2 linked regions of the Diceros bicornis minor genome follow. The protein of the gene in region 1 purifies or fractionates together with the protein of each later gene. This does not show direct contact. Links are inferred from orthologs where the notes say so. Each region holds a gene or a part of one and is shown on either strand. Other genes may lie near its edges.

What was found.
Region 2: the proteins of SORBS3 (region 1) and DLG5 purify together in Homo sapiens (co-immunoprecipitation; 3 studies listed by BioGRID and IntAct, with this or other methods). This does not show direct contact. The link is inferred for Diceros bicornis minor from reciprocal best matches to the Homo sapiens genes SORBS3 and DLG5.

Annotation. Positions count from the first base shown.
Region 1 is NC_080750.1:71,322,656-71,338,628, reverse strand, and holds the start of SORBS3 (vinexin), read left to right. Parts: upstream 1-8,159; 5' UTR 8,160-8,340; intron 8,341-10,837; 5' UTR 10,838-10,892; coding exon 10,893-10,994; intron 10,995-11,260; coding exon 11,261-11,375; intron 11,376-13,031; coding exon 13,032-13,225; intron 13,226-14,092; coding exon 14,093-14,156; intron 14,157-15,973. UniProt on the Homo sapiens protein: Vinexin alpha isoform promotes up-regulation of actin stress fiber formation. Vinexin beta isoform plays a role in cell spreading and enhances the activation of JNK/SAPK in response to EGF stimulation by using its third SH3 domain.
Region 2 is NC_080745.1:29,208,118-29,223,892, reverse strand, and holds the start of DLG5 (disks large homolog 5), read right to left. Parts: upstream 6,737-15,775; 5' UTR 6,388-6,736; coding exon 6,084-6,387; intron 1-6,083. UniProt on the Homo sapiens protein: Acts as a regulator of the Hippo signaling pathway.

The sequences.
Region 1 (15,973 bases):
ATTGCTGATATGCAGGCCTTTTGTGACTGGCTACTGACCAGCAAATTGAAAACGGCTTATTGCACTCGGATGGGCTTGATCTGGCTCTTGCCTAGGAATAGAAGAATCAGCCTCTCCAGGAATACCAGTATTTTTCATATCGTTTTATCTATAATTAGATTGTCTTTTCTGTTCCTAAATGAACAATTGCAGTTCAATGAAGCAAGTTTTCTCTCAATAGCAAAGATTTGCTTTTTATCCTGATAACTTATGTATGATTTCCTGACACTGCTCAGGGAAAGAAAAACCCTTGGCAATATTATTATTTAATGTCATTAAGGAGCAAGGGTGGGATTTCCTAAAATTGGATAACTTTGGGCATTTCAGCCTTGGCATTGTCCCTTAGATCCTCTTCTGAGTAATTTTAAAACACAAAGTTTGAGGCAGCTGCTCTCTATAAAAAAAAATATTATAAACCATGCCTACATGAGATACAGCTGGGCTTGCTGCTCATGGTCATTACTCAAGAGTCTCTCTAGCCTTTCAGAATGAGTAAAGCTGAAATCTGTTCCTCTACCCTCCCTTGTTTTATGTAAATATTGTAGCTAATCTCCAGAATTTTTGACTGTACTATATCTATAAATATAAAACTGAAGCTCTTGAGAATTAAGTTCCTCCTAACCAATCTGGGTGATCAGTCAGTTAAAATGGTTTAGGAAGAGCTTGCCCCAGATTGACTGATTCATAGTTTTTCTTTGTATTAATCTGTTAGGTTTTTCCCTTCAGTTTTTGTATTGAAAATTATTTTTGAACCCATAAAGACTTATTGAGATATCATTCTAGAATCCCCAATACTTATTATAGTTGTTATAGTAACAGTAGAACCCAGGTTTTTTTCAAAGCATTATTCAGATTTCTCTACCCAAGCAGAAAAGATTTCAGAGGGAGGGTGAACCCAGAGCCCCAGTTGTGAGGATGAGGCTCCAATTTCCTAAATCGTTTGTGGTTATAACCACCTCGTCTGGCACCCAGTCCACATCTTTTCTGAAGTCTGCTGTAGGAGGGAGCAGAGGGCAGCCTAGGGAGCCGCACTAGTAGCTGGAGGAGGGTTTAGATTACCTGGAAGACAGTTCTGAAGCATTGTATCGCCACAGTCCCTCTTTAGCACTGCTGTGATCAAACGCTTGTGGGAAAGCCATAAGAAAGAGCAGATGTGTGTAGAGGAAGAAAGTTGTGTAGTCGAAAACAAGGTTGTTAGTCTTATCTTGAGAGGAGCAGAGAACTGTGTTAACAATAGAGCTTTGTGCCTTTGACAGAGTGTGAAAGAGGGAACCTTTATTGCTTTGAGACTTGTGACCTGACCTGCCTATGTCTGGCCAGCCAGAGTGAATGGGGTCAGGGTTAGCTGCCTTCATCTATGCAGTCACAAAGGTGAAGATGATACTGGAGAGTATATTCCCTCCCAGGAGGCCTTGGCCTCACGCCCCAGCTACCTTGGCAAGACTTGCTAAATAACACCTTTGTCTGAGACAGGGTTATGCATCTTCTCTTCTACACCCTCATGACAAGTCTAGGTGGCTTAAGATCAAGAAGTGAGGACATGGACATGGACCATCCCTCTGAGCAGCTCTAAAGTAGGGCCATGCGCACTGCCTTCCTGTAAGTTCTTGCCCAGATTCCCTTTACTCCCTTGACATAGTTGTCTCCAAATAACTTTTTTTTTTTTGCATGTTAAAGTGAAGTGCATGTAATGTGGAGGAGGCCTACCGTAGATTTTGATTTGAGGCAATAAAGAAGTTTTTTGTTTGTCAAAGAACCTTTTTGAAGATGCCATCATAAATGCCTCACTTTTCCTTTCTCAGTGCACTGTGACCAATAGCTATTTGGTCAGCAGGCATTTTCCAAGAAAGGATCTCATTTTGCTTCCTAAATGAGGTGGTCAGATATATGAGGCTAGCTGGTTGTGTAATTTTTTTAAGGCTATTCTGAACGATGGATTGATTATTTGCTTGTGCTTAGAGATTACTTGCTTTTTCATGCTTTCAATCATGTTAAAGAAAATGGTGGAAATGTTATTTATTGGCAGAAATCATTTAATACATCTTTTTTGTGAACAAGAAATTAATGTTAAAAATTTCTTACTGTAAGTTGGAAGTCATCTTTAAACAAAAAAGAAGAAAACACTCTTAAAATTAAATGATAACTTTATTGGCTCCCTGTGTCTTTATTTCCTTTGTTTCCTAGTGGAGGCACTTATATTTGGCTCTTACTGATTTAATAATTCCAGAAGTCAAGGGAAAGCCTGACGTTTGATGTCTGGTCTCTGATAATTGCAAGGAATTCCCCTCTCAAGGAAAGGAATCCCATCAGAATAAAAAGGACCTCTTTCCTTCACCTCTTCAGCCATTTAGTTTTAAACTGGCTTTGCTGGCTGCAGTGGTGTTTCTATTTCTCCCACTCAGAATCCACTCCCTCGCCCCAGCCTCCTTCCTGGCACTTTGCCCACCACTAACTCATGCTCAAGTCCCAGCGCCTTGAAGAAAGGAAGAAAGACATCCCAGAAAACATATAGTCTTTACAAAAGATAAAAATAATTTTTATTATAGTAATTTAATAACTCTGCATGGGATCTTAATAATAGACATGGATGAATTGCATCTTGAGAGAAGTCAAATAAGCCAGAGAGGAGTGGAATGTGGAGTTGGACTACCAAGAAAAGGAAGTGTCAGACCAGCCTTTTGATTCCTCTGAAAAGTAGAAATATCATGAGGTGCTGTGGATTCACAAGGAAAAATAACCTCCTCTGGTCAAGTGGGGGATTAAGGATAGGGAAAGTGCCCAGGGTCCTTGGGGAGGAGAATGTATCAGTGAAGGAATGCTATGGGCTATGGCAGTAGAGGTGGAAAGTCTAGGTCTGGGCCCTGCCAGGCCTAAGTATGGCAATTTGACTGTAAGGACAGCCATATCAAGGGCCACAGTGCAGTTTACAGGCTGGAAGATGAGCCCAGATTTCTCCTTTCAAATGAGCTGAGTATACATTTTGGGATTTTTGTTATTCCAAGAGCGTCCTGACTTAGCAGTGTCCTTATACCTCAGCTAAACCTTCAGTAGAATGAGGTTATATTGGCCTTTATTTCCAGAGTTGTGAAAAAAATTTTTACAAGCCTGGAAATTAAGAACTCAAATGCAAATTCATGTTTAACTCTTACTACATCTAGATCCAGTCCCTGCTTTCTTGCCTGCTGTATGTAATTGCATGATCTTTTTGTTTAAATTTTTATCATAACTTTCAGGTTTTAGAAAGAAAGTCCATTTAATTTTGATACAGTGGATTAATAACTTAATGGCAAATTAGGCAGTCTTTTTAACGTTGCTGCAATTCAGGAGAAGGTTCATCATAGAATTGAAGGAGGTGGGAAGACAAGGTTATTCTTTGTTTGGAGGCCAAAGCACTACCTTGCGGTGTCTACTGGCCAAGAAATCAGCCCTCTCATCTTCCTTATCTCCATTTACCTGCTCTAGGAAAGAAGGTTGATGCAGACCCAGTTTTCCAGCTCCTGGTCTGTGTGCCCTTGTTTGTGGCTGAGTTAACTCGGTTGGGTTTTCCCTCTGAGGTCATCACTTAGTTATCCTTCTCTTGTAAAATCTGCTTCCTAAAGAGCTGACAGCCACTTGCTCTTTCTTTCGTGAGAACTAAAAGAGGTTCATCCAGCTTGGTTCTTCTCAAAGACACCCCATCTGCACATTGTCCTTGTGTGCTCATCTACAAAAGGAGGGAGGGAGAGAGACAACAGTGGCCGATGTGACGTCAGTGTAGAGGCATCCTTGAAGAAGGATGAATAGATAATTGGACAAAAGGCTGAGTGCTCTCATGGCCTTTGGGGTTTGCATATAGTTGACTCTGAGAACCCTAAGTAGATGCCTGTTACATCGTGTGTGTGCTATGGAAATATTTGTGCAAGGCAGGCCTGAAAGCCTCATCCTCTGTTCCCATAGGGATCCACTTATTCACCCTGGCTGCCTGGCCCTGACACTGACCATACTTGACCTGTATTGGGTATTTTTTGACTCACAGAGATCCCTTACTTTACAGTGACTATATCAAAAAATATGGATTCCAGAGGGACCAGGTCATGCCACTGTCAGCTTAGGAGGGTCTTCCAAGCCCCACAGTGGGTCACTTGTATTCCTCTTCTGTTGCTCTTGTTCCCATGAGTGTTTGGCATAGACGAGGGCCATCAGTGGAATTTGGCTGGCAACATCAGCAGGAGCTGGAATCAGGAGAGGACCCAGAGAAAGAGATGGAGCCCAGGGCATGAAACACAGTCCAGATTTGCACTGGTGTGTCTGATGTGACTTGGTTTCAATTCTTTCCTATGGGTCACTGTGGTCTTCCCCTCTAGAGAAGTCTAAACTCCTTGAAAGGGACATTGCTTTCTTTGCTAAGCCATTCTGATCTGGTTGCTCAGTTCCCCTGGCAAGAAGAAAACTCATTTCTGAGAGCACAAATAAAAAACTAACTAAAGAATATACCAGGAGTTCATCCCTGGGGAGGAGGAGAGAAGCAATAGCAAATGCCCTTCTTTTGTCTAATGTCGGGGGACTGAGGCACAGAGCCAGGGAGCCCCCTTGGCTGCTCAGGGTAGATCTCAGAGGGTGACATTCGAATGCCAGACTCCCAGCACTAGATAAAGACACTCCTTTGATGGGTTGTAATTAGTATTTTGGTGGTGAACATGATGTAGTCCATGCAGAAATAGAAGTACAATGATGTACACCTGAAATTTTTGCAATGTTATAAACCAATGTTACTGCAATAAACAAAAAATTAAAAAAAAAAAAAAAAAGACACTCCTCAAGAAACAAGAATTCAGGCTTATGTCTTCTGGGATCCGTTGCTTCCTTTCTCTCATTTGAGAAATAAAACTAAATTCTCTGTTCACCCTCCTCACTTACAAAAAAAAAACTACTTAAGTGCTCTTTCCATTTATCCCTCCTCTTGGTAACAGAGGTTGGTTTTCAGAGTGACCTGTATTCCTGTATGAACAGCCACCCTCTTCTCCCCTTGGTGTGAAGAGCCACAACATCTATTGGTAGTCTCTCAGCTAATCATCCCTTAGGGTGGTGGGCGTGGACAGACCTCTGTTGACATGGGTGCCACTGGGGGATAATCCATAGTGTACAAGGTGGCAGCCTCAAGGAGCAGGGTGGGTGTGGGGCATCCTGCTGAGTAGGATCAGATAGCTAGGAAAAAACAGAGCAGTTATGTAACTTTGTTTACCATGGCTCAAGTGGCTCTAAGAAGACAGAGGCAGCCCCCTGACAAAAGGCAGTCCCAGAGATGTGGAAGAGTCACAGGGAGGGAGGTCCCTGTTAGATAATAAGGCAGACGCCAGAGGAGATAGTGGATTGGGGTGAAAGGAATCTACTCTGTTGTTGAAACAGCCAGGTCACCTAGGACAGCCTTCCCTATCCTCAGCCTCTCCCTAAACCATGCCAGCTGTCTTAGGGGTCGGGCCAGCAGCAAGTAGAACTGAGACTGGAGGGAGGAGCTGAGAAATCAGACACCTGTTTCTTGGCTGAATCTCTGGACTTTGGTACTTTTTGCCCTTTAATCTTCCACTTTTCAAAGAGGAGGGATTCTTCTCCCTAAATATGGGCAGAAAAGGAGGAGTCGGTCAAGGTTCCTTATGTTCTATGCTCCCACCAATCTCTCATCCTCTCTTCTGTCAAGCTGGATGGGCACGAGGAAACATGATAGAGGGATCCTGTTACAGCTCTTGTCCAAGCACATAGCCTAAGACTCTGGGAAGGAGGGCGATTTCCACTGGTGCCAGGGCAAAGCAGTTTCTGTCCTGAGAGAGAAGGTGATAAGCACAGCAGAGCCCGGGCCTAAGTAGACAGGCAGAAGTCCAAGAAGCTCAGGAGAAAGGCTCAGGTTTCCTCCAGCAAGGCCTACCCCGCCTCCTCCTACAAGCTGTTTACTGGACTCCCTATTCCCATAGAGATGAAACTGGTAGCCAGTCCCCAGCTCCTTGCCCATGGCTGCCACCTCCCTTTGTGACACACAGGAAGTTGAGACCATTGTCAGCTCAGCTGCACCCTCTACGTTAAATATTTATCTTGGAGTCCAGGTCAGAGCCCTAGAGAATGAGAGAAGCTTGCTGCTGGTGAGAGAGGGTATGGCCAGGATTCCTGGAGCTGGGAGATCTTCAGCTTCACCATCTTTGGAGAACAAGGAAGAACATGAAAAAGATGTGGCCCTTCTTAGTCGTGAGGATCCTGACAGGTGGGAAAAAACTGATGACAAGGGACATGGGCACATATTTTGTCCCTGAGGGAGGGAAGGAGATGGTGCCTAGGGGTGGGTAAGTAAGTATCCAAGCTTTAGGGAAGGGAAAATGCACTTTGCCCTCAGGAAGTCCGAGAGCTCCTACACTCCTTTCTGCAGCTGTCGTCTGTGGGCAGGGCTACCCATCCCAACCCTGTCCCTTCAGCTGTCCTGGAAAATCACTGACTCTTGGAAGGGGTCTTCAAGGTGATCTCGTTCAGCTCCCTGCTCCGTGCAATCATTGCCTTTACAAAGGTGTCCCCCAATTGGCAGAGTACAGAATTCCTGTAATCATGTAAAAGCTCATCCTTGGAAACCTTGGATTTGCTTCCAAGTGGGCACCCAATGGTCCCACTTCTGCCGGTGCAGCCAGTCTGTTTCCTCACACCACCCTGAAGACACTGGGAGCTAGCCAGCATGCCTCCCTCTCTTAAGCTTCTTCTCAGCCTAAACATCTCGTTCTGCTTTTCACGTGTGATATTGTTTCAAGCTGGTTCACCCCAACTGGAAACATCTTTTAACTGAATTGAGGAAGGATCAAGCTAATAGCATCAACGATGTAGGAATTTAAGAAAAGATTCTTTCATCTTTCCTCCATTCTCTTCCTTCTTCCTTCTGAAGGTTGAATGATGTGCTTGGAAAACACTCTGAAGTGCATGGTGGCCTCAGGGCACCAATCTTACACCCAGTAGGTATGCAGTAAACGTTTTCATATTTTCATAATTTATAATTGATCACTCCCGAAATGGATCTGAAATTGCCCAATAACTATTTGCTATATGGTTGGTTTGGAGCTTGGGGTCCCAGAACCAAGCCAACGGCTAAGAAGTACTCCAGAGTCTTTCCATCAGCAGTAAACATTCAGTAAGCACCCTCACTTTCTATAACAGGCCCTGTGCCCACCAGAGGCTTGGGGGAGAAGGGGAAGAGGGATGACCAAGGGGTGGAGAGCCACTGGACGCGGGCTCTTGGGACCCGTGTCAGAGCAGCGGGAACAGCGGAAAAGCAGCAAGATCAAAACAAACACGCGTATGGGAACACCAAGACCCTGGTAACCCCATCCCGGCCAAAGGGACTCCGCCCTCATCCTCTTCAGGGGCGCGGCTCGCCTAGGGGGCCAGCTCCCGTCGGTGGATTTCCTCTCCGGGCTGCCCTCCGCGGTGCTTGCACGTGTGTGAGCATCCGCCCGTTTGCAGTGCACACGCGCCTGTGTGTGTGTGTGTGTTTGCACACGCCGGGCACGCGCTTACGCAAGCACGAGATTTCTCTCCCCAGGGGCGGAGGGAGGCGGCGGGACCTGAACTCGGTCCGCTAGGCCGCTCTGCACGTGGCGCCCTTATCTCGGCCCCAGCCTGTCTGCAGCCCTGTCCTGTCTCCGAGGCTGCCGGCTCCGTATCAGTTGCTGGCTCGGCCCGGCCTCTTGAATCAGTCCTGCCCTCTGTCCTGGCTCCGCCGCGCAGGGCTCCCTTCCCACACGCTGGAAATGTCGCTGGAAACTCTGAGTGGCTCTCGCCGGTCCTCCCGCCCCCGCCCCGACGCCAGCCCTGCGGTGGGGGCCGGGAGAGGCAGCTGGGAAACCCGAGCGGGCTCCCCGGGGACCCTCGGCGGCCCCTCCCGGCGCCGCCTCCGGCCGGCCCGGCCCCCTCTGCAGGGGCCCCGGCGTCCCCGCCCGCCCGGCCCCGACGGAGGGCACTCGCACGCCCCCGGCCGCCAGCGGGAGAGGGAGTCGCCGCCCGCCCCCGCCCCCCAGCGGCCCACAGTCCAGACTAAGGGCGACACTGCCGCCCGCCCGCGCCTCTCCTGGTCCTCCTGCGGTGCGCGCCCTCGGCCCCGTCGGTCCCCCGCTCCCCTCGGGCGCCGGCCTTGCGGGCCCCGTCCTGACCCGGTCACGAGGGCGGACGGCACAGCCCGGGTTTCTGCCTGCCCTCCCTGCCCGAGCGCCCGCCGCGGCCGCGCCAGGCAGGAGCCGGGCAGAGATGCCCCTGCGCTCCCGGGCATCCTTAGGCCCCGCCACCTGCTCGCCGGGGAAGGTAGGTGCCGGCAGGGAGAGGGGCGGAGAGGGGGCGGGGGCCGCAGGCCGGGAGGGAGCCGCGCCCGACCCGAAGGGAAGGCAGAGGGCCCCTCCCCCTGGGGTCCTCGTCCCAAACTCTGAGGTGGAAAGAGGTAAGAGGCCCTCCCTCAATTCAGAAAAGGCGAAATTCGAGGAAACCTGGCCGTGTCCATGTGGACTTGTAGCTGGAGAATACCCGGGAAAGCGCCGAGAGCCAAGCCCCCGGGGTCGGGGCGGTACTTGGAAGTGGGAAGGAGCCTACCGACTCCAACACGGCTTCTGCAGCTCTTCCAGCCCTTTGGAGCTGGCTGCCGGGGTGAAGGGCTTCCTGAATTCTGGGGGGACCCCGTAGATTTCCTGGTACCCTCTGTCCTCTGCCGGGCGTGGGACCAATTCGCCCGTGCCTCTGTCTCCCCTATAAGTCCTCCTTAATGTCTCCTGGCTGGCTGCCAGGAGAAAAACTCAGCCACTGTTCCCCACCCACCCCTGCATATCCCTGGGGGGTGCCACGGGGCACAGTGTTGGGGAGGGGCAGATTGAGCCACCAAGGATCAGCAACCCCTGAAAAATCGGTGTGTGGGGGGACCTCCTGCCCCCACCCCATCCTACTAGAGGGCAGTTCTCACGAGCACAGCAGGGTGGGACCGAGGCGAGGGAAGGAGGCCGGGTCAGCTGATGGTTAGGGCTGCTGATGCTGACCTGGCAATTTGGCCTCAAGCAGTCAGCTGGGCAGGAAGGGGTTGCTGCTAGGAACCAACCTTCTCCAGGCCTCTGTTCTCAGGCTCTTGCCTGCCTCAATTTCCCCCACAAGGGGAGGGAGAGCAGGAGAACTGGGGCGGGTCTGCATGTTTTGCTCTTGGTAGGAGGCCTAATTGGATCCAGCTGGTGAGCTGCCCCTCCTCCAGCCCCAGCCCTCCACTCTTCCACAGCCAGGGATGGGCATGGAAAAGCTGTCCTCGATAGGTCTTTTGAATGTCAGAAGGAATCCTCACTCAGACCAGAGACAGGGAGCTGCCCCCAGCCTTGTCTCTACCCTCCAGCCCCCCATGCCCTGAGCAGGAACTGGGTACCGGAGTAATACAGCCCCTCTTGTACCTTCTTCCCCTCTGGTCCCCATAACTCTTGTGCTGCTCATATGACCCCCCACTGCACTCTCCCCCACCTATTACTCAGCTGACACCCCTCTGTACCCATACCCCCACTCTGCTCACGTGACCCTGGGTGGTACGCTCCCCAAGTCGCGTTCACAGCACTGTGCTTACATTCTACCACACACACACACACACACACACACACAGCACCTCACAAGGCCCTCGCAGCCCTCCCATGAACCCCCAGACACCACAGGCACACACAAGGCTAACCGCTGAACAAAAATGCCAGAATTGGTCTAGCCCCAGAAGGTGGTGGAGGTTGGCTCAGCTTCTGGCCCGGTGCAATAGCACAGGTGAGGAGAGACAGGCTCCACACCTCAGCCCTCTGGGTAGAAAAGCCCTGTTGGACAGCCCCATTGCCTCCATCTCCAGAGTGCCTGCAGCCCCCTTACCCTGACCCAACCCTTGCATGGGGCAGAAGAACCCGGCTGGCCAGTCAGGCATGGTGCTTCCAGGAAGATCCTTCGTTCAAAAAAGAGCCTGGAGGTGTAGGAGGCAGTGGGGTGTGCCCACATGTATGTGTCTTTGTGTGCGGCACTCAGCACCACCCCTCCATCAGCAAGTCCAACAGAGCCCTTACCCACTGCTTCGTTCTCCACTCCCACTCCTCACTGGCACCCTGAGCCCTGTGAGGCTTCAGTCCCAGCAAGCGAAGGATGCCAAAGAAGGGAGATGAAACTTTGAGTCCAGGAGTGGTTCCTGCTGCCTGGAAATGCCTCCACACTCTCCCCGTCCCCAGAACTTTGGCCCCGTTGGGCAGTGGGCGGATGGCCTTGCCGTTGTCCAGGGCTTCTTCCCCGGCCTGAGTAACCCCTTGTGCCCCCTGGCAAGCAGATGCGCACGCAGGGCCTGGGGGAGGCAGAGGGAACTGAAACAAAATGCTGAGTGCCCAGACCTGCCCCTGCCAGCTGCCCCAGTTCCCTCTGCCTTCCCTCTGGGGGAGCGGGCTGCACTGTGCAGTGAGAGCCCCAGAGGGGCTGACCAGCAGGCCCACGGGCCCCAGGCTTTGTCCAGCAGGCCTGCTCCTAGCCAGCCTCCCCTCCTCCTTGCCTGGGCCTTCCCCTCCCCCACTCCCACCCCCACCCCGAGCTCCTGCCTGGGGCCTAACAAGAGCCCATTGTGCCTCTAGGAGCCGGCATGGGGCAGCCTGCAGGAGGGGCCTGCAGCGGCTGTTTCCTGGGTCCTTGAGCTCCCACCCAGCTGGTCTCGACCCCTTCCCACAGCCGTGCCCTCCTCCCCCACCCCTATTGGGGTCAGGCCCAGAGGGCACAGCAGCCTGGGCTCAGCAGGACTTTTCCTTCCTCCTTCCTTCCTTCCCCACAGAGGACAAACAGCGGAGCAGCTGGCACACCGGGAGTCCTCCGACCTTGACCCAAGCATGCAGGCCCCACCCTGCAGCCTCCCCACTGGGCTCAGCCTGGATGACTTCATCCCTAGCCACCTCCGGGCCCACCTAGGGTCATCCTCCCGGGGTACATGGGTGAGTGAGACAGCGAGGGAGAGGGAGTGCTGTGAGCCCACAGTTGGCGGGGACCTCGCAGGACAGATAGGGGCAGGAGGATTAAAGGAATGGAGGGAGGGAAGGGTTGGGAGGCAGCTCTAGAGAGCCTCGCCGCTTTCCCCCAGAAGGGTCAGGCTGGCCCTCGAGCCCTCACCATGGACTCTGGCTGTGCCCTGGTAGCCATCCCTCCCACCTTCTGCAGAACCTTCTGGGCCTGAGCTGCTGCTCCTGGCCCCTTCCCACAGGTGCCTGTGATCCGGAATGGTGGCTCCAACACCCTTAATTTCCAGTTCCATGACCCTGCGCCCAGGACTGTATGCAATGGGTACTTCCCACTGAGAGATGCTTCCCAGCACCCAGGTGGGTCTGCTCAGGAGTCCCGTGTGGGGGTTGGGGGATCAGAGCCTCCTGGGCCCTGCCATCTGCTACCACCCTGGGTCTGGCAGGAGGGGTAGGGGAGGGATGGGGGGGCCTCTGAGCTCAGCTAACTGCCCCTCCCAGTGTGAGCGTGTTGGCCTATGAGAGTGAAATTCGCTGTGGGAGAGAGCAGGCTGATAGATCCCTTCCCCTCCCCTCCCCCAGTGCCAGGCGAGGGAAGTGTACAGGGGACAGAGCCTTGGGCCCCAGAGTGGCCTCCAGCAGGCCAGGAAATAGCTTGGACCGGGGATGGAAGGGTGGAGGAATGTGAGCATATGTTGGCTGTAGAGGGGTGGATGCTGCACCCTAAGGTCTGTACTCACCAGCACAGCAGAAAGTTGGAGAGCCTCTCAGCTCCTGGGCTCCTGTGAACCTCCCCAGTCTGGCCTATGGGCTCTGGGAGATCCTGGGACCTCTGGGGTGCAGGCCCACCCTGAAGGCCCCTTTCCTGAGGAGGATGGCATCCTTTATTGAGCATTCCCTTGAGGCGGGCACTGTGTCAAGTAGTTTATTCATTTAACAAATAATTGTTGAACGCTTAGAACATGCTGGAGCCTTTTCTCATTTAATCCCTCAGTGTCCTGGCAAGGTAAGTCACAGTTATCAGGATCTTCTCAGTAAGGAGCCTGGGTCTCAGAGATGTGCAGTTGCAGAGGCTGAGCTGAGATTCAAATCCTTGTCTGTTGGGCCGGCCCCGTGGCGTAGTGATTAAGTGCGCGCGTTGCGCTGCTGGCAGCCCGGGTTCGGATCCCAGGCGCGCACTGATGCGCCGTTTCTCTGGCCGTGCTGAGGCCGCGTCCCACGTACACCAACTAGAAGGATGTGCAACTATGATGTACAACTATCTACTGGGGCTTTGGGGGAAAAAAATAAATAAAATTAAAAAATAAAAAACTTATTAAAAAAAAAAAAATCCTTGTCTGTCTGGCCTGGCAGCCCTTATGCTGCTATACTGGTGACCTGGGGGCTGAGGTTCTGGGGAAGTTGAGGACACAGTAACCACGTCTGGTGAATGAGTTTCTGTCCCTTATCGAGAGCCTCTTGACTGTGGATCAGGCACTGTGCTGGTCACACACACGAGATCTCCCTGAATCTTTGCCATGATTACCCTCGTTTTACACGTGTGAAAACTGAGGTACTGAGAGGTTGATTGCTATGCCCAAGGTCACACAGCCAGTAGGTGGCAGAGCCGGGTTCTGAATTCAGGTCTGTCCCCTCCAAGCCCAGCGTCTTTTCTGCCACATCCTACTGCCTCCCTAGCTGGGATGTCCCCAGCATTCTCTGCAAATGATGATTCTCAGCCCTCACTCATCCTGAAAAGTCTTAGGACAGCCCTAGGAAAGCAGTGTGGGGTGGGGGTGGGCACAGATTTCTCAAGACAAAATCCATTCTCATTCACTTTTACTAAAAAATAAACAGAGGCTCGTGGTCCTGCTGGGGATGGGGAGGTTTTTAGAGTCTGCGTCATCAACTCAAACAAACAAGGAGATGCTGAAACTTTTGAACCAACAGGGATCAATGTTCTGAGGAGCTAAGGGACGAACAAGTTCAGGTGGGGTCCCTGCCCTTTGCTAACGCTCTCCTGCACACACCCCACAGACCCTGCTTGGTATCAGACCTGGCCAGGCCCTGGGAGCCGGCCCTCTGGGAGCCAGAAGACCCCAGCCTCCCAGCATCCCCAGAACTGGTCAGCCACGTGGACTAAGGACAGCAAACGTCGGGACAAGCGCTGGGTCAAGTACGAGGGAATCGGGCCTGTGGATGAGAGCGGCATGCCTATCGCCCCCCGATCTGTGAGTCCAGGGCTGGGGGCCACTGACAGATGATGGTTCACTTCTGTAAACTAAAGTAGGGGCCACAAGGGCTGTACCCAGACCATTCCAGACTAAAGCAGGGGTTCAACCATGATGGGTTTCGGGGGTCATGAGCCCCATAAAGGTACAGGCACTCTTGTGTGTCTGAGTTGCACAAGTGGTTTGTTGGGGGGAAAAGGGGAGCTAGAATGCCCCCAAGTTCTCTGAGGCGGAGAGCCACTGTTGGGAGGCTTGCTCCTGGCAAGGATGGGCCTTGCACGGCACTCGTGAACTGGCTGCTCAATGAATGACTGGCTGAATGAGTGAGTGGGGGGCTGAGTGAGAGGCCTCACGCCATAGCAGGCATGGAAGCATCTGGGCCCAGGCTCTGGGGGGCCCTGCCCACTTCTGCCTCCACGCCTGTCCTGAGCCAGCCGCCTGCCTCTGGTTCTCCGCCTCCTCATCTGAACCTGAAGTTGGCAATATGCCTGTCCCGCCACCCAGGGCTGTTGTGAGTCTCAGGTGAGGCAGGGGATGTGAAATACCATTTCCCCCTCTATGACTGCATTTATTTTTCATGACCTAGAAACACATGTTCTTTGTGGAAACATCAGAAATATAGAAAAGCAAAGAGAAAAAACGTAAACCACCCCCATCTCACAGCTCAGAGGTCGTCACTGATGGAGATGCTTCCATGTGTCTTATTCATATGGAACACGCCACGTGAAGTTACTGTTATTAAAGATACAACAGATAACAGCCCACCCACTGGGGCTTCAAGGGTGGCCAGAGAAAGGACTCAGTGAGGGAACACTTTGGTGACTTGATATTGGGAGGGTGGCCTGACTTTGCCTTTTCTGATCCCAGAGTGTTGACAGCCCCAGGGACTGGTACCGGAGAATGTTCCAGCAGATTCACCGGAAAATGCCAGGTGAGACCCCCTTCCAGGGCCCTCTCTCTGCCTGAGTGGGCTCCGGCCCCTGGGGCTGGGGTGGGGATTCAGAAAAGAGAACTCACCTGCTCGGGGAGGCCTTGTCCACCCACCCCAGACTCTGTGGTGAGTGGTCCCTGAAACAGGCCAAAGGGGGCTCCAATCTGCCCCCTGTCCTCAGAGGACAATGACGAACATTGTCCACGGTATCCTCTGAGGGTACTGGGAAGCCACAAGGGCACTCACTGGTTCAGGCACACCCTTGACCATCTATTGAGCACTTATTGTGTGCCGAGCACTATTGTAGGTGCTGAAGATAAAACAGGGAACAAAAAAAGAATGTCCCTCCCCTGGTGAAGCTAAGACAGAGGGAGACGGAATCAGTAGAGACGTATTTCACGTGGCAGATGGTGGAGAGACCAGGGAGAAAAAGGCTGGGGGTGCCAGTGCAGGGAGGTGCTGCGGCTGTAGGCGGGTCAGACAAGGCCCTGAGAGGCGGCAGCTGAGCAGGGAGCTGAGGAGTGAAGCAGTGAGCCCTGCAGGGCTTGGGAGGAGCGCCACCGCACAGGGAGCAGAGACCCAGAGGCAGAAGCAGGCCTGGCCCGATCTGGAGCAGCAAGGAGGGGCTGGGCTGGAGTGAGAGGGGGCACGTGGTAGGAGATGGAGTCAGAGAGGGGACGGGTCACGTCATGCAAGGCCTTTGGGGCCATGGTAAGGACTTTGGCTTTTACTCTGCGAGAGCTGAGGAACCACAGGGAAATTGTGAGCAGAAGTGTGACATGCTCTGATGATTGATGGCTGAAAAGGCTCACTCTGGCTGCCAGGTGGGGAAGAGATGGTGGGGCAGGGATGGAAGCCAGTTAGGAGGCCTGGCTTTAATCCAGGCTGGAGACGACAGTGTCTCAGACCAGGGCAGTAGCAGCGGGCTACTGAGAGGGGTCAAGGATGACTTTAAACCCAGCAAGCTGAAGGATGGAGTTGCCATTTTTTTTTTTTTTTTTTTTTTTTGTGAGGAGATCAGCCCTGAGCTAACATCCGCTAATTCTCCTCTTTTTTTGCTGAGGAAGACGGCCCTGGGCTAACATCTGTGCCCATCCTCCTCCACTTTACTTGGGACGCCGCCACAGCATGGCTTACCAAGCAGTGCGTCGGTGCGCGCCCGGGATCCGAACCAGCGAACCCCGGGCCGCCGCAGCGGAGCGCGTGCACTTAACCGCTTGCGCCACCGGGCCGGCCCCTGGAGTTGCCATTTTTAAATACAGCGAAGACTATGGAACCTGCAGGTCTAAGAGGCAGTCAGTACATTTTAGGTCCGGTACATCCAGGTGGAGATGTTGAGTAGGCAGTTAATACACAAGTCTGTGGTTCAGGGGCAATAGAAATACCTGAGACTCACTCAAAGAAATGTTGATTTAAAGCTCCCCAAGTAATTCTAATGTGCAGCCAAGGCTGTGAATCCCTGGAATAGATGATATTTTTTAAGCCAGAAAACTAGACAAGGTCACCTAGGGAGATGGAGAGATGCAGCCCCAAGGTCTGAGCCTGAGGCACTTGGATGTTTAAAGGGTCGAGAGCTGAGCAGGAGTCAGCCATGCAGCCTGAGAAGGTGCTGCCAGGAAGGTAGGAGTAAAACCAGAGGGGTCTCCCTGAAGCCAAATGAAACCAGAATTTCAAAAGGAGGAAGTGATCCGCTGTGACAGATGCTGCTGATGGGTCAGCACTGCTGACCATTGGATTTGGAAATGTGGAGGTCACCAGGGTCCTTGATGAGAGTTGTTCAGGCTGAAAGCCTGCTTAGTGAGAAGGGGAGTTGGAGA
Region 2 (15,775 bases), on another chromosome or scaffold:
CCAAGGTTACAGGAAATTACTGAAGAGCCTCCTTGCACTGGCCTGCAGAAAGTATAGGTGGTTGGAGCAAGGTGGAACAAAAAAACTAAGACAAAATATTTCTCCTACGCTGCTGACTTTTTCAAGAAATAGAAAGCCAGAGTACCAAAAATCACTCGACACCAACGCTAAATCAGCAAATAGTAATCATGGTACAGAGCTAGAAGAAGCCTCAGAAATCTAGTCCAACCCCATCACCAAGCTTCCTTGGACCCAATGCCACCTTGGAAGTGCTGAGAACCCTACAGGACTGAGCAAGTCCTCAGGCAATGCTAAACTTCTAGTTCGACTGTCGTACTGAAAAAAATCCAAGCCTCAGGTAGTTAAAAGGCTCATCAAGATGTTGCACAGTCAGGAGCAGATCCTCATCCAGGACTCTTTCAAGGACACCACGCTGACATTCAGATTCTAAGTGCAACAAGGGAAGGGCTCTCCAATCCTAAAACAAGCAATGTGGCCGCTCCACATGGCTCCTGGCAGCCAGCCCCACAATGCTGATACCTGATGGGTGACCTTGGAGACTTCAGATACCACCTGCTTCCATCATAGACATACTGTGGGTGGTGACATCCGTGTGTGCATCTGGAACTCACTCTAGCCTTCCTGCACTCCCACAGCCGTCTGTCCCTGCGAAGTCACCACTTAGGAACCTGCACGTATTTCTGAAGAGGATCCGGAGTTACACAGGGACACACCACTCATTCTACACACGGCTGACTAGTCATCAACTCAACAGGAATTTACAGAACACCTACTTCGGGCCAGGCTCTAGTCTAGGCATTAGGAATACAACAGCAAATGTGAATCTTGGTGACCCAAAGCCATAGTAAAAGCAACCCTGACATCTGTTCAGCATAGTTACAAGGAGCTCTCACACAACCCTCAGCAATACCAGGAGAATCCCAGGTTTCTGTTTCTAAGGCTGGTTCCAGGCTGCATTGCTTGCCAAAGGAACAAAATGCTTCTCTTTTTTTCTTACCACAAACTGTCAAACAGCATAGTGAAGTAATTATTGTTTTAATTATTTTGTAGAGTAGGAGATAAGCTTAGAAAGGTCAACTGCCTTGCTCAAGGTCTAGAATCTAGTGAAGTCTGACCACTTCTCCCCACCGCCCCACTCCAGCAATGACCTCATCTGCTAATTGTATGGTCACACAAAGATGAGACCACATGTAGTGGACATTCACCTGCAGTCAGACCTGCACAACATCCTTCCTGATCTTCTTCCTTTGGAGAACTGCTTCTCCTCCTCTAAAGAACCAAACAGTAATGGTACAGGCTACCAATCACAGCATCCCATCACCCTATCCTATTGGTTGGGTCCACTGCTGGGCCCATCTTAGTCCTCTAGCCCCAACCACAGTGATTGGGCCTCACATAGACACATGACCCTAGCCAGGCCAATCAGAACCTTACCATGAGATCTTTCTGCCTGGGCAGATCGGCTAGAGCTCCCTTTATTCTCTGGTCAGGGGCGGTGAAGATGAAGCCCAGAAGGGCTTGAGTCCATGTCCCAAGCCCATGGGAAAAGCCTGCAGCGTTCATAATCAATCATCCAAAAGCCAGTTTCCCCAATCCAACCCAATGTTTTGGAATATTATACAATAAATTTCTTTTCTGCCTAATATGGTTTGAGCTACATTTCTGTCACTTTCATTAAGGTACCCTGACCTAATAATACATAGAGGGATAAATAAAATCTGCCTTTCTCTTAGAAACCTCTTCTCAACCATTATTTTCAAGTTCCTCCACCACTTCCTCTCTATAACACAACTAAAACAACCAAAGGAAAAACTACAATGGTTGGAGCTTTCCCTTATGTCCACGTCCGTCGACCCTCCAGGCAGAGTGGATGAAGAAAAGGTGGCAGGTACCCGAGCAAGCACGGAGAGAACAAAAGGCCCAGATAACCTCTAAGGAATAATAAATAATCCATATCTGACAATCAGCAGCCAACTGCCCTCATCCTGCTGGAAAAGCCTGGCAGAGCTATTCCTTAAAAAAAAAAATTCCTCCAGCTTTAACTTCCAACAAGTGTACAGTGCCTAAATTCCAAGTGACGTCCAAACCCCTCGCTCAGCCTAGACATCACGGTCCTCCAGATTACCTCTGCATCCCGTCCATCCAGAGCCAATGTCAATCCCCTGCTCTACTCAGGCACACACTGCTCCTGTGACGGCTAGGCCTCTGCTCTCGTTGTATCTATGGCCCAGAAGGTCGCCCTCCCTTCCCTCTGCGCATTCACAGCACCCCTTCAATACCCAGCTCAAGCCCCAGTCCCTCCGTGAAGACTTCCTCGGCTTCTCCAGCAGACACTGCTGTCTCCATTCTCTAAACTCTGGTGAAGCCAAGTCAGCCAGCTCGCTAGGCAACTAAAGAGGAGGCATGGAGGGGACGAGGACACATTCAGCTCTGAGCACACAGCACACGCAGAGAGGATCATCAAGTTCTGCCACTTCTGCCCCACAAGAGAGGCCTGGCGTGAAATGGCTTGGGGAACCCTCCCCATTTAGATGGTAATTAGAGCCAGGAGGAGGTGGATGACAGTATTTGGGGAAAGCACGTAGCATACAGAGTTTTAAAAGGCGGAAAAAGCCTGCTTGCATTTCTATCACTCAACTGATCTGTCTCATAATGTCGCTCTCCTGAGTGTCTCATTCCCCCAATGAGGCAGTGAGCGGAGGGCTGGAATTACATCCTACGCACCCCCGTCTCTGTCCCCTCTGGACCGAGCACAGGACCAGGCACTTGAGTCGTCCCCAGTCACATTCTGCTCTCCTGGGGGCTGAGCGGGCAGCCTAGCACCCTCAGCCCCGTTTCACAGATGAAGACGCTGAGGTTCCTGGCCAGGAAAGGGCCCTCACTCCAGGGGCAGGCCGTCGAGGATCCTCAAGTGAGAAAACCCAGATGTCAGCAACTGAATCAAAGACAAAAAGCAAAGGATCCTGGTACAACTGTGGAAAACACACAAGAGATCTGAGTCACTACGAGGAGAACAAGAGTTCTCTCCTCTCACTACCACCGGCGGGGGCAAAGGTGACCACTTCTTCCTTACAGATCCAGGGGTCGGGACAAGGAAAGGCTATATAATTCCAGAGCTCCCCGATGCAGGAAACAGCCTGAAATTCCAGTGGGAGGGCCTAATCAGGTAACAGGAAAAACCGCCCCAACACGGAATCAGGAGCACTGAGCTTCGCCTCGACCCGGGCTCCTTTCTGCCCTGTCCCCACACCTACAGAACCCAGTGTAACGCAGAAAAGACACCACTCACCTCCCGGGGTTTCCACGGAATTAAGGGAGATATTAAAGTACGTGGTAAGATACAAAATGCTGAACAGCAATGTATCGTCAATCCTGGGAGTCCCAACACCCTCCAAAATAAAACAACACTGTATTTTCTTGGTCACTTCACACCCCAGGCCTGAGCACGCTGGATTATAAACATCTGGGGCTCTAACAGAGCATGAGCAGAACGGACAGGTTTGGTTTGCTCACTTGCCCAGTACCACCTAGGACAGCTTCCTCCCAGTTCCAGGCCCCATGTTGGGGGACTGCCAGACATCATGTGCCTGCAGCACAGCAAACTCCCACAGCACACAGTGCCACCCAGGGGATGGGCCTCCCGAAGCAGGGCCCTACACGTGGTGTGGAATCCACCAAGGAAGCCCTTACTGGGTGATGGTGGCACCTCCTATGTAGAGATGGTAACAAAAGGGCCTCCCCTTGACGCTATGGATCCTCGGGAAACCAACTGGTTCCTCTCTCAGGCTCCCACAAGGGGCTTGCACCAAAGCCGACTTACAGGCAGAGCCGTGGACCTGCCTGCAGAGTGGAAACTGCTAGAGAGAGTAAGGGGGCAGGACACGGTACTGGGTTTCCCCGACTTTGGCTCCTTGGAGATGAGACAGGTGCTTCCATCCCTTCAACCAGAGCAGCTCTTTTATGTACTGCTCCCTGGCTAAAAGAAAAAATAAGCTGGTACACCCCTGCAGAGCAGTTCATCCTTTACAAAGATCCCAACACTCTACTGTCTACTTGCACACCATGTCACCCTCTCCCCCAGAAGCTCTAGATGGTACCTTGCCATATCAAATGCTATCCTAATTTTTTTCTAAAGTATTAACTAAAATGAACTTAAATTCCCCTTGAAAATTATTCTTCTGAGGATTTCATGATCCTCTGGCAAAGTTACAGAACTCTGCATTCTGGTAAAACTAGGGTCTGAAATCACTTCCCTCAGGGATAAAATCCAAACCCTATTCCATCCCCTCCTTAGAGGTCAGGACCAGCTCCTAGAACTTCCACCCTCTGAGGTCCCACCTTCTCCACCAGGCATGAAAAAGGGAGAGACCTAATTAATGGCAATCATCCATCTATTCCAGAGATTAAAGCTAGCGCTGATTCAAACACACCCCAACAAGGACTTGAGTCTGCACTCCAACTTCTGCACTTCCTTGATAAACTTCCTGCTTCAAAGATAGACAGATGGATAGACAGACAGAAAGCAATTAAAAAGAAAAAAAATTACCCCGATGAGAGTTCCCTCTGTCCTCATCCTCATGGCCACATCTGACAGCCCTTCTTAGAATCTTCCAAAGCACCATTCACAGGAGAGAACTGGGTTTGCCCAGAAACTCAGATACAACTACAACTGGTGGACAGACTCTAAGTGTGGGGGGCATAAATGCCACAGAGTTGGAAACCCAAAGTGCAGACAGAAGGGCCACCAATGGAATGATGTGCTGTGGGCCCGCAGTTTAGGGTCTCTGTATGTCCATTTCCTTTCCTATAACAAGTGAGGTTGAGATGGCCAATATACATTGGAGCTGTTACCCGGAACGGTAACCCAGCTTATAAAATCATCCCCTTGAGAAGTGAGGCTTTTAACAGCCAAATAAGCATCAGTCTTTGGCCTACAGGTTGCTAAGGGCAGTTTGTCAGCCCTCTCGGATCACTCTTAAAGCAAGGACAAGACATAGAAAAGGTGGCACTTGCTGATTTCTGGCTCCAAAAGTGTTCAATTAAACAAAAGGTCATAATTGAAAACTTCTGGTTTTCAATACTTTGAGCATTTTAACCAGTCCAAACTGGAATTTTCTCTCTGGCAAAGCAGGAATAATAGCTCACAGAGTGGTAACAACTGAACGTGATAGAACAGGGTGCCTGCCACAACAACAGGTGCCTAATAAACGCTGGTTCTCTTCCTTCCTCAGTGCTAAGCCTTCTTCCTCAAGCTTCCTTGTCTAAAAAGCTGGCTTTCCACACTCTTCAACCAGACCAGGCCAAGACTACCACTTGTCACAAACTCCCAGCAGTACTGCCCCCCACACACACCTACAAATCCATCACCCACCACCCAAGGGAACCAGCCACCAGTCTTCCCTCCTCAGGCAGCTCAGCACCGTCAGGGAGCGATCTGAGCCCCAGCAGCCAGTACTAGGATTTTCCCATGGTGCAATGCAACTTCCCCAACTTTTCCGGGCCCATAGTTTCCAAAGAAACCTAGCAGACATTGTGCATAATCAACCACAAGTCTGAGCGAGCACACAGATTTGAGCTCTGGGCAGAGGGAGATGAGCGAGTCAGAAAGTGAAAAGACACCAGTGGTCCTGCAAGGGGGTGGCAGAGCCCAAAGCTCGGGAGTACCGGTCCTGGCCCTGGTTCCATTCTTCTAGGCTGTATCATTAATTAAAGACTAGCAGACGCTCCCAAAGGACTGGCGGGTGGCGAAGAGCCTTAGAAAAGGGACTGACGGCCACCCCTCCGAGGTCACCGCGCGGCGGAAGCTGGTGGTCTCGGGAGGACCCTGCTGCCGTGGCAGCCGGGAGAGTCAAGGCCTGCAGTGCCGGCATAGTTCAGAGCAACCGCTGGACTCAGGGTGGGGGTGTGAAGCAGGGGTCCCCGCATCGCCTCCCCTCCCTAGACCGACTCCTTTAGCGGCCAGCGGCAGGTAGACTGGTGGCCCTTGTGAGTCACCCCTAGCACAGCTGGAGAGAGAAGTCGTGGAAGGCAGGTCCGAGAGGCCGGGGCGGGGTGACACTCACCGGCGCCCTCGGCGGGCTGCGGCGGCCCGACGACGCCGTTCAGGTAGAGAATGGGCAGCAGGTGAGGCTGCGTCTTCTCCAGCGCCGCCCGCAGGTCCTGGAAGTGGTCCCGCTCCTTGGCCAGAAGCAGCTTGAGCAGCAGCTCCGCCTTGGCGCCTCCCGCCTCCTCGTCCAGCTGCCGCCGCTCGCCGGGGCTCAGCGCTCCCGCGGCCTCGAGCAGCCCGAGCACGGCCTCCACCTCCGTCATGGCCTGGGCCAGGCTCTGCTGACACTGGGCGAGCAGCTCCCGGCGCTGGGGCTCCATGGTGGCGGGCCGCCCCGCCCCGCCGGACGGCTCCCGGGCCCCCGAGGCCGGCGGGCGCGCGGGCTGGCTGCGGCGGCGAGGGGCCCCGCAGCGCCTCGGGGCGGCGAGCGCCCGGCTGCAGCCCTAGCGCGCCGGGAGCCGCGAAGCGCAGGGGGCCATGGGCCGGAGCCGGGGCCTGGGCGGGCTGGGGGCCCGGGCGGCGAGCGGCGCTCAGCAGCGGCCGCCTCCCGGGCTCAGGAGCGCAGCCATGTTGGCTGCAGCGGCGGCGGGACTGGAAGAGGAGGAGGAGGAGGAGACGGAGGAGGAGAAGGAGGAGGCGGAGGTGGGGACGGCGGCCGGGGCGCGCCCCGAGGCCCGGCTCCAGCCGGGCATGCTCCCCCCCCGCCCTCCGCGCCCGCCCGCCGCTCCCTCCCCGGCCCCGCGAGAAAACTCGCCCCGAAACCCCGGCGCCGCCCCCCAGACAAGATCCCAACTCCGCAGGGAAAGCGGCCAGGCGGGGTGCGCCAGGCCCCCGATGGCTCCGGCCCGGCCCGGCCCGTGCGCCCCGGTCCGGCTCACCGGGGCCCCGCGGCCGCCGCCCGCTCCGCCATGGCCCGAGCCCCGCCGCCGGCCCGCCCCGCCCCGCCGCCCTCTCCCCTCCCCCCGGCCGTCCGTCCGAGCGCCCGGGCGGCCGGCCCGCAGGGGATGGGCGAAGGGGAGGGGTCCCCGGCTCCCCGCCCCCGGCCCGCCTGGGAGGCGGGGACGCTGCGCTCGCCTGCTCTCCGGGTCCCCGAGGCCCAGGCGCCGCCGGGGATGGGGGACGCGGAGTTGGGGGCCCTGCGTGAAGCAGCCCGCACCCCCAGCCCCCTCGGCCGTGCACACGGCCAGCCCCCAAGCTATTGGAGACCCCCTCAAACAAAGGCCTGCCCCCAATCCAGAGTCTCCTAATCTGAGAACTCCAAAATAAAGCCTGGAGACAATTGAGGGAGGGAGTGCCCTAAATTGGACATCTCCAAGTTAAGACCCCCCCCGAATCTGTGAGCTTTCCCCACTCCAAGGAACTCTTATATAGAGAATTTTCCAGTATACTCTCCCAAGACTCGGTTAATCAGGATCTTTCCCCTCACCCCCATTTTAGATGAGTTGGTTCCCAGAGTCTAAAGAGGACTGGATGTTGGGAGGAGGGGGAGGGGGTGTGTTGTTGGATGAGAAAGAGAGGTGAGGCTCTGCAGGGGAGCCATGGATTTTTTTGGCAGGAGAGGTGTTCTCCTCCCTAGATGTCACCCCCAGATTCTAGCTAGTCTGGAGAAGGTAAATCAATGGGCTATGGAAACCTTGCTTCCCTGATGCCCTCAACCAGGATCTACAGTCCGGCTCCAAGTCCAAGAACGTCTGCCTTCCGTTACAGCCCTTTGTGGACACTTAAACCTCCCAATTGCAGGAGGAGGGCCTTAAAAGCTGGAATCCCAACGGATGGCTCTCAACAACCCCACGGCGCTGGTGTGGAGTGGGATCCCAGCGCCATTGCCAACGCCTCTGTTGGAATGAGTGAAGTTATTAACAAGCACTGGGGGCCACAGGTGCTTTTTCTACTGACACCGTCACTCCCACCCCCACCATTTTCTCTCCTCTCCCCAAAAGCAAAGTTTTCTACAAGATTCTGCTTCTTTAAGGGGAGGAGTCGCTTTTATTTAATGGAAACAAACTCTACATATAGTGGTTAGAACACAAGTACCAGAATTTACACTTCAGTTTTGGATTTCCCTGTAAATAGCTGCACAACGTGGGAGCAAATCAATTACTCCAGCTGATTTCAGTTTTCTCAGGAAAATGAGGAGACAGTGTATTCTTTCAGGGGTTATTAGCCTTGTGTTCATGAATAAGCTCGAGGGTGTCAGTGAACATTTGAAATTATCTGAACTTTCTTGTGGACATGTATGTATTTTTCTGGGATGGAGGTGTATAGCTTTGATCAAATTCTTTAATGACCCAAATGGTGGAACTAAACTCTTTTACCCGCTGCTCAGATAGTCTGGGCTTCTACGGCTGAGCAAGGTTCTAAAGAGAGGAGAAGGCTGGCTATTGCACAGTGCCAAGGTCCAGACAGGCTCCCTAGCTGTCCCTCCCCGTCCTGCCCCTGAGAGATGGTTCCCTCTTCTGGCCACCACTTCCCCTACAGCAACTGCAGAGCCTAAATCATCCACAAAGGCATCCACCCTTCAGGACACACCTGGACCTCTGTTCTTAGCTGGATTAACTAGAAATCTAGAGGGTGAGAGGAAGGTGGAAGGGGAGAGGGGGAGAAGTTGTAGGTTAATTTGGTTTATGCTTAGAACCAACTCTGGGTAAATCCCAGATCCAAAGGGTGTCTGAGATAGGAGGGGGCAGGAGGGAGGCACGGTCTCCCAGTAACTCCTAAAAGGATGGTGGGGAACATGTGTGTTTAGCCTCTGGAAGCCTTCCCAGGAAGCAGTGAGGAAGTCCATTTGCTAAGAGGGTTTTCTCCCAGGTGCTGTACAGTGATAGACACTACTTTCAGCAAACCCTTTATTGGAAACTCTGGGGTTTTATGCAAAGCATAAATTCTAGAGGAAATCATTGACTTTAAAAACACGTTAAACTTTAGGATTCCTTTTTTTTTTTTTTAAAGATTTTATTTATTTATTTTTCCCCCAAAGCCCCGGTAGACAGTTGTATGTCGTAGTTGCACATCCATTCTGGTTGCTGTATGTGGGACGCAGCCTCAGCATGGCCGGAGAAGCGGTGTGTCGGTGCTCGCCCGGGATCCGAACCCGGGCCGCCAGCAGCGGAGCGCGCGCACTTAACCGCTAAGCCACGGGGCTGGCCCATGGGATTCCTTTAACCTGTGACCTTGGTATAACCTTGTATTTCTGTAGCATTTTATACCCTTCAGGGCAGCTTCCCCCACATTATCTCCTTTGTGCCCTGTTCTGGGATGAATTGTGTCCTGCCAAAAGATACGTGTAAGCCTTGATTTCCAGCGCCTGTGAATGTGACCTCATGTGGAAATAGGGTCTTTGCAGATGTAATCAAGTTAAAATGAGGTCATACTGGATTAGGATGCGCCCTAATCCAATGAATGGTGTTCTTATAAGAGGGAAATTTGGACACACACACACACGAACACAGGAGAATACCATGTGAAGTGGAGGCAGAGATTGGAGTGATCCATCTAGAAGACAAGGAATGCCAAGGATTGCCAGCAACCACCAGAGCTAGGAGAGAGGCCTCGAACAGACTTTCCCTCAGAGCGTCCAGAAGAAACCAATCCTGCTGACACCTTGACTTTGAACTTCTGGCCTCCAAACTGTGAGCTAGTAAATTTCTATTGTTTTAAGCCCCCCAGTTTGTGGTAATTTGTTATGGCAACCCCAGGAAACTAACGCAATCTCATCACAATGGGGGAGGAAGGAAAGACAAAGATGGGTTGCCCCATTTTACAAGTCACTGTCACCTCACCCTTCCACTGCCTAAGAATTTCTCTTTAGTTTTACCTACCTTTCCTCCTTTTTTCTGATCTTAGAGAAAGAGGGCCCCTCCTCCTTGAGAACAGCCCTCTCATGCTCTGGATACAATCCTTGTATCCTGGATACGCCCCCTCCCCCCCACACACACACTCACACATATACTCACATACATTCATACACACACTCACATGCACACATTCACACCAGTCTCCCTCTGCTATGGCTCAGGCCTCCCTCCCCTTTGTCAACAAAGAGGCTCTGGTGTCCCCATTCTCAAGGGCTCCCCTGCCCTCTCTCATGTCCTTAGGAAAGAACCACTGCCTGACACGGGGACCTCCACATGCTCATAGACAGCTCAGTCCTTGGTTAGTGCTTTGCAGTCCAGCTTTTGAGCACAACTCCCCATAGAAAACTGCTCTCTCCCCATTAACCTCCTGATGCCACCCAGGGCCTTTCCTTCACACCTCCTCCGGTGTCAACTCCGCTCTGCTTCACCCCACCCTGAGAACACCTTCTTGTTCTCCCTCTAACCCCTCCCTCACCCATGGCTCCTTTCTCTCCAACTTGACTGTACATTCCTCTTCTCTCCCCATACTCCCTCCCTCCCAAAGGGTAATCACTTTGGAGCTGGACAGATATGAGCTCAGATCCCAATGCTGACGCTGGCTATGTATCCCCCGGGCTAGTTACTGTTCTGAGCCTCAATTTCATCTCAAATTTGGGAATAAACCTCACCCTTTGGTGGGGTAATTAGGAGAGTTCGATGACAGGCCTTATACAAAGCCTGAGCACAATGCCTGGTATCTGGCAGGCATATAAACCCCCTAATGTAGTGCTTGAGCAGGTAACTTCTGCAGTCAGAATGCTGATTTCAATAATGGCTTTGCATGGGCCGGCCCTGTGGCTTGGTGGTTAAGTGCGCGCGCTGCGATGCTGGCGGCCCGGGTTTGGATCCCAGGTGCGCATCGAGGCACCACTTCTCCATCCATCCTGAGGCTGAGTCCCACATACAGCAACTAGAAGGGTGTGCAGCTATGACATACAACTATCTACTGGGGCTTTGGGGGGAAAAAATAAAATAAATAAAATCTTAAAAAAAAAAAAATAATGGCTTTGCAACTTACTAGCTGGGTAATGTTGGATAAACCTCTCTGTGCCTCAGTTTCCTCATCTGTAAAATAGGAATATTACTAATAGGATCAAAGTAGTTAGTGCTCAGTCAATGGTGGGTGTCACTGTTCTTTTGGCTTCCACTCTCTCTTCTGTCTGAAAGGAAGGCCTCTCTGCAGCATGTAGCAACAGGTTTTGAGCAGATGTTTCCAGGTCCCTGAATGAATGGTTGTGGACTCCAGCTGAAAGACTTCCATTTCGCTTGTATTCAGAGAGCGGGCGAGGGCAGGGGCCCCTTCTACCTGGTTCTCTGCTGTATCCCCCTAGCACAGCGCCTGGCATGTGGTAGGGGCTCATAAATATTTTTTAATTAACAAGTGAATATGTAAAGGAATGAACGAACTAAAGAAGTTTGCATTAAGGCCTCATTTCAAGAATACTATCTGCTGAAAATGGAAAGATGAGGAATGAGAGCACCTGAGAACAGAGCAGGATCAGAAGCAAAATGAGAGAGGTTCACAAACTCACAGATGCCGCAGGATGCGGGCGGCAGGTTGGGAGCTCAATGGGGGCACCTGAACTCTGCCCACTATGGAGCAACCACCCCTGGGGGGCTCAGTACCAAGCTCCCCACCCTCTCCTGCCTTGCCCTGCATACAAGCTTGGTCCACCAGACCCTGCTAAAGATGCCCCTGCTCAGAAATCCATCCCCCAGTTAAGGTAGTCCTGAGGCCACGGCCCCCTCCAGGTTTCTGCAAGCACAGTCCTGCCAGGGAGCATTAACCCTTTGATTCAGAGCCCATTCTGCACGTTCCAACTTAGGTGTTACCTGCTTTAGGAAGCCAGACGTGCCTTACTGACCTCCTCTCAAAAGGGCTGTCTCTGCTCCTTGTTGTCATTGCAACTTTTTACTTCTCTTTTATTAACATTTAAAAACTTATATTGTTAAAATTGTCAACTCATTACTCTATATCCCTGTGGTAGGCAGAATGTACCCCCCAAAGATGTCCATGCCCTAGTCCCCAGAACCTGTGAGTATGAAATATGTTACGTTTCATGACTAAACGGACTGTGCAGATGTGATTAAAGTTACAGACTTTGAAATAGGGAGAGCATCCTGGATTATCCAAATGGGCCCAATCTAATCACATGAACCCTTAAAAGCAGAGAATTTTCTCAGTAGAAAGGATAAGTTTCTCTTGAGCAGGAGAAGGAGAATCAGAGAGATTCCAAACAGGAGAAGTATTTGACTTGCCATCACTGGCTCTGAGATGTAGGGACCCACATTGGAGGACCAGAGAGAGGCTCTAGGAGTGAAGGGTGGTCCCCAGCTGACAGCCAGCAAGGAGATAAGGACCTCTGCCCTACAATAGCAAGGAACTGGATTCTGCCAATTGCCTGAACAAGGCTGGAAAAGGATTCTTCCCACAGCCTCTCGATGAGAGCCCAGCTGGCTGACACCTTCATTTTAGCCTTGCGAGACCTAGTCAAGCCAACCTGGACCTCTGACATACAGCACTGTGAGATACTACATGTAGGTTGTTTTAAAGTTCTAAGTTTGTGGAAATTTTGTTATGGCTACAATATAAGGCTAGCAGTCCCCAAAGACGATGAGCTCTGCGGGGACAGAAGCAATATCAACTTGTGCACTGTTGAGCCCCCAGCACCTGCCATAGTGCCTGCCACTTGGTAGAACTCAAAAAACACCCTGTTCTGGGCCGGCCCCGTGGCTTAGCGGTTAAGTGCGTGCGCTCCGCTACTGGCCGCCCGGGTTCGGAACCCCGGGCGCGCACCGACGCACCGCTTGTCAGGCCATGCTGAGGCCGCATCCCACATACAGCAACTAGAAGGATGTGCAACTATGACATACAGCTATCTACTGGGGCTTTGGGGAAAAAAAAGGAGGAGGAGTGGCAATAGATGTTAGCTCAAGGCCGGTCTTCCTCAGCAAAAAGAGGAAGATTAGCATGGATGTTAGCTCAGGGCTGATCTTCCTCACACACACACACACACACAAAACACCCTTTTCTATGAATGAATGGAAACCTACTCCTCCAGCAGGACTTGCTTTTGGGGTAGTTATTTATGGTATCTTTGAAAAACAGAATCTAGTTCTCCACTGGTGATTGGAGGGCAAGTTTTCAAATGAAGATACCTAGAAACTGGGCCTTCTCTGCAGACTGAGGGAGCTGGGGCCCCAGGGGCCTCTGACCCTGGACTTTATGTCCTAATGGATAAGCAACAGCTGTTCCCTGGAGAAACAGATCCTGGTGCTCTGCTCCACGTGTGCAGCTCCTTTGGCAGTCAACAGGGCCGCCTTCGAGAATGTATGTGCAGATCGTGTGTGCACGTGTGAGCATGCATGTGCACACATGCACAACAAGAGTGTGAGGGCACTGTGGGCAGGAGTGTGAGTGTTTCAGTGTGAGTGTGGGTGTCTGTGAGTACCAACTGCACTAGTATGAACACTTGGATGTGTGTGAGCGGAGAAGCAATCCTTTCTAGGATCGTTTCTCCCTCCTACCCTGGAAATTGCAGGTGGCCCAACATCAGAGATGTGACACTTAAAAGGATTTCCTTGAAGAGTGCCTTAAAAGAATGAATTCCCCCAGGATGCTGAAAATGGAATTCTATTTATGAAAATGCCATATTTCCCACAACTTTTTAGGAACACTATGACATGAAATGAACCATACCTGTTTAGAAAAAAATTAGCTTAAGCTTGGCCCATGATAGCTTCTCAAATCATGAAGACATTTTTCTTCAAACTGCCTCTGTTCTTAGTACAGGAATAGCCCACAGGCAAGTGCCCTAAGATTTTACAACAGGAAATCTGAGAGAGGCCCATACCTAGTAATGAATCTTGCCCAGAGTGCCAGGACAGCGCAAAATTCTGAGATCAGAGATGCAAATCCTAGGAAAGGATTAATTTATGATTAACAAATAGTTAACAACTATTTTTTGAGTTCCTACTGTGCGCCAGGCACTAGGCTAGGCCCTAAGACAACCTTCCTTGTTTTGCAAATGAAGAGCAGGAAAGTTGCTTGCCCAAAGCAACACAGCCAATTACTGTCAGAACTGGGGCAAGAATTTAAGTTCACCTCAGTTCATTGCTCCCTCTGCTCCAGCCCGTGCCCTCCTTTGGCATCCTCAACTTCAGCTTTTAGTCCCTCTGGGTACCCACCCAAACTATAGCAACCCTGCAAGGGTGTGCCCCAGCTCCTCCCCTTTATCCTCCTTCTTGTTAAAACACTCCTAAGGTGTCATCTTCTACAGAAACCAGTTTGAAGTCGCATTTGGAAAGGATCTCTTACTATGCGATATCATCTTCCTGGTTACTTCTCCCAAAGGACCCATAGTTTGACAACAATCATGCTGAACCTCAGGTCTGAACAGCCGTCCCGGTGAACCCTAGTGGGTCAGAACTGGCCAGTTTAGTCTTCCATCCATTCTGCAGAACACTATACTACTCCCTGACTTCCTCAAGAGTCCTCGCTAGCTCCCCATTACCTACAGGACAAAGTGCAGCTCTTTAGCTGGACATGCAAGCCTTGAGGTCTTCTAACTTCATCTCCTATTGTCCTCCCCTGACCCCCGCCAATGCCCAGTGACCGACCCTCTCTGTCTCCCCTTGGATCCCACTCCTCCCGGCTCCTCTTTACCTGCCCAAACCCCTCTCATCCTTTAGGGCCAGGAAACCCTCCTGCCAACCCCACCTTCCCCTCCCCTGAACTCCAGAGTGCTGATGCTTTGAATCACTTTCCCCCTGTTGCCATTATCTATTGCCACACTTCGTTCATGAGTTTCCCTGGGCAACACGCTGGAAACAGCGACCTTGCACTGTTATTTTTCTCATATCCCTCACAGTGCCTGTGATAGTGGAGGCCTGGAGCAGATGCTTCAGAAATACTTGAGGATCACAAGAACCAAGGCAAGGGAAAGTGGAGCAAAGGGGAGCTAGCACCTTTTCATCCTTTAGGTCTCAGTTTCAAGGTCACTTCATCCTAGCATCTCCCTAAATTAGCAGAATTGGCTTCTATTCCCTTTGAGCAGTGATTTTCCTTCCTGACACTCATCACATTTTGCCTTATTTTTTATGTGAGTCTGTGTTGAATGACTGCCTCCCACTGGAGTATAAGTTCCACTGAACACCTGTCCGGTTCACCTCTGTATCCCCAGCATCTAGTCTGATGCATGATAGAGGCTCAAAACTATTGTTGGAAGACTGAATTAGAGAAGGAGGGGAGATTACCTGCTTCTGGTGCCCATAATTGCTCTCAGAAACTCCCCTAATGGAGCACTTCTGTCTCTCTAGTCTAGACGAGACTCTAGTCTGAGAGGAACAGTATCTCTGAGGTTCTACAAACCCAGCCACAGAGCAAATTATGACAGTTCTCCTTCCTGGGTGCTAAGTACATGCCAGGCTCTGTACTGTGTGCTTCCCCTGCAGCCCCCCGTTACTCTCCACTACACTCATTGGCAGTAGGTACCGCAATCAGCTCCATTTTACAGATGAGGGACCTGAGGCTCAGCATTCCTGCCCTCCAAGCCCTACCAGTGGTGTGCATCTCCCATCTGGCAGGGGCGAGAATCTCTAGTGCCAGGGAGTGGCTGAGAAGCCTCAGAAGAGCTTTTGAAAATGCATCAAAACTACCCCTGCCTTGAAAGGAATGAAATCTAGCTGCTGGAGTACAAGCTAGAAATCAACAGCTGTCCTACCTGTGCAGACACATGTAAATCAGATGCAAATAGACCCATGGCCCATTCAAACTCTGGCTTGAATGAACCCAACCCAGAAACAGCATGTCAGA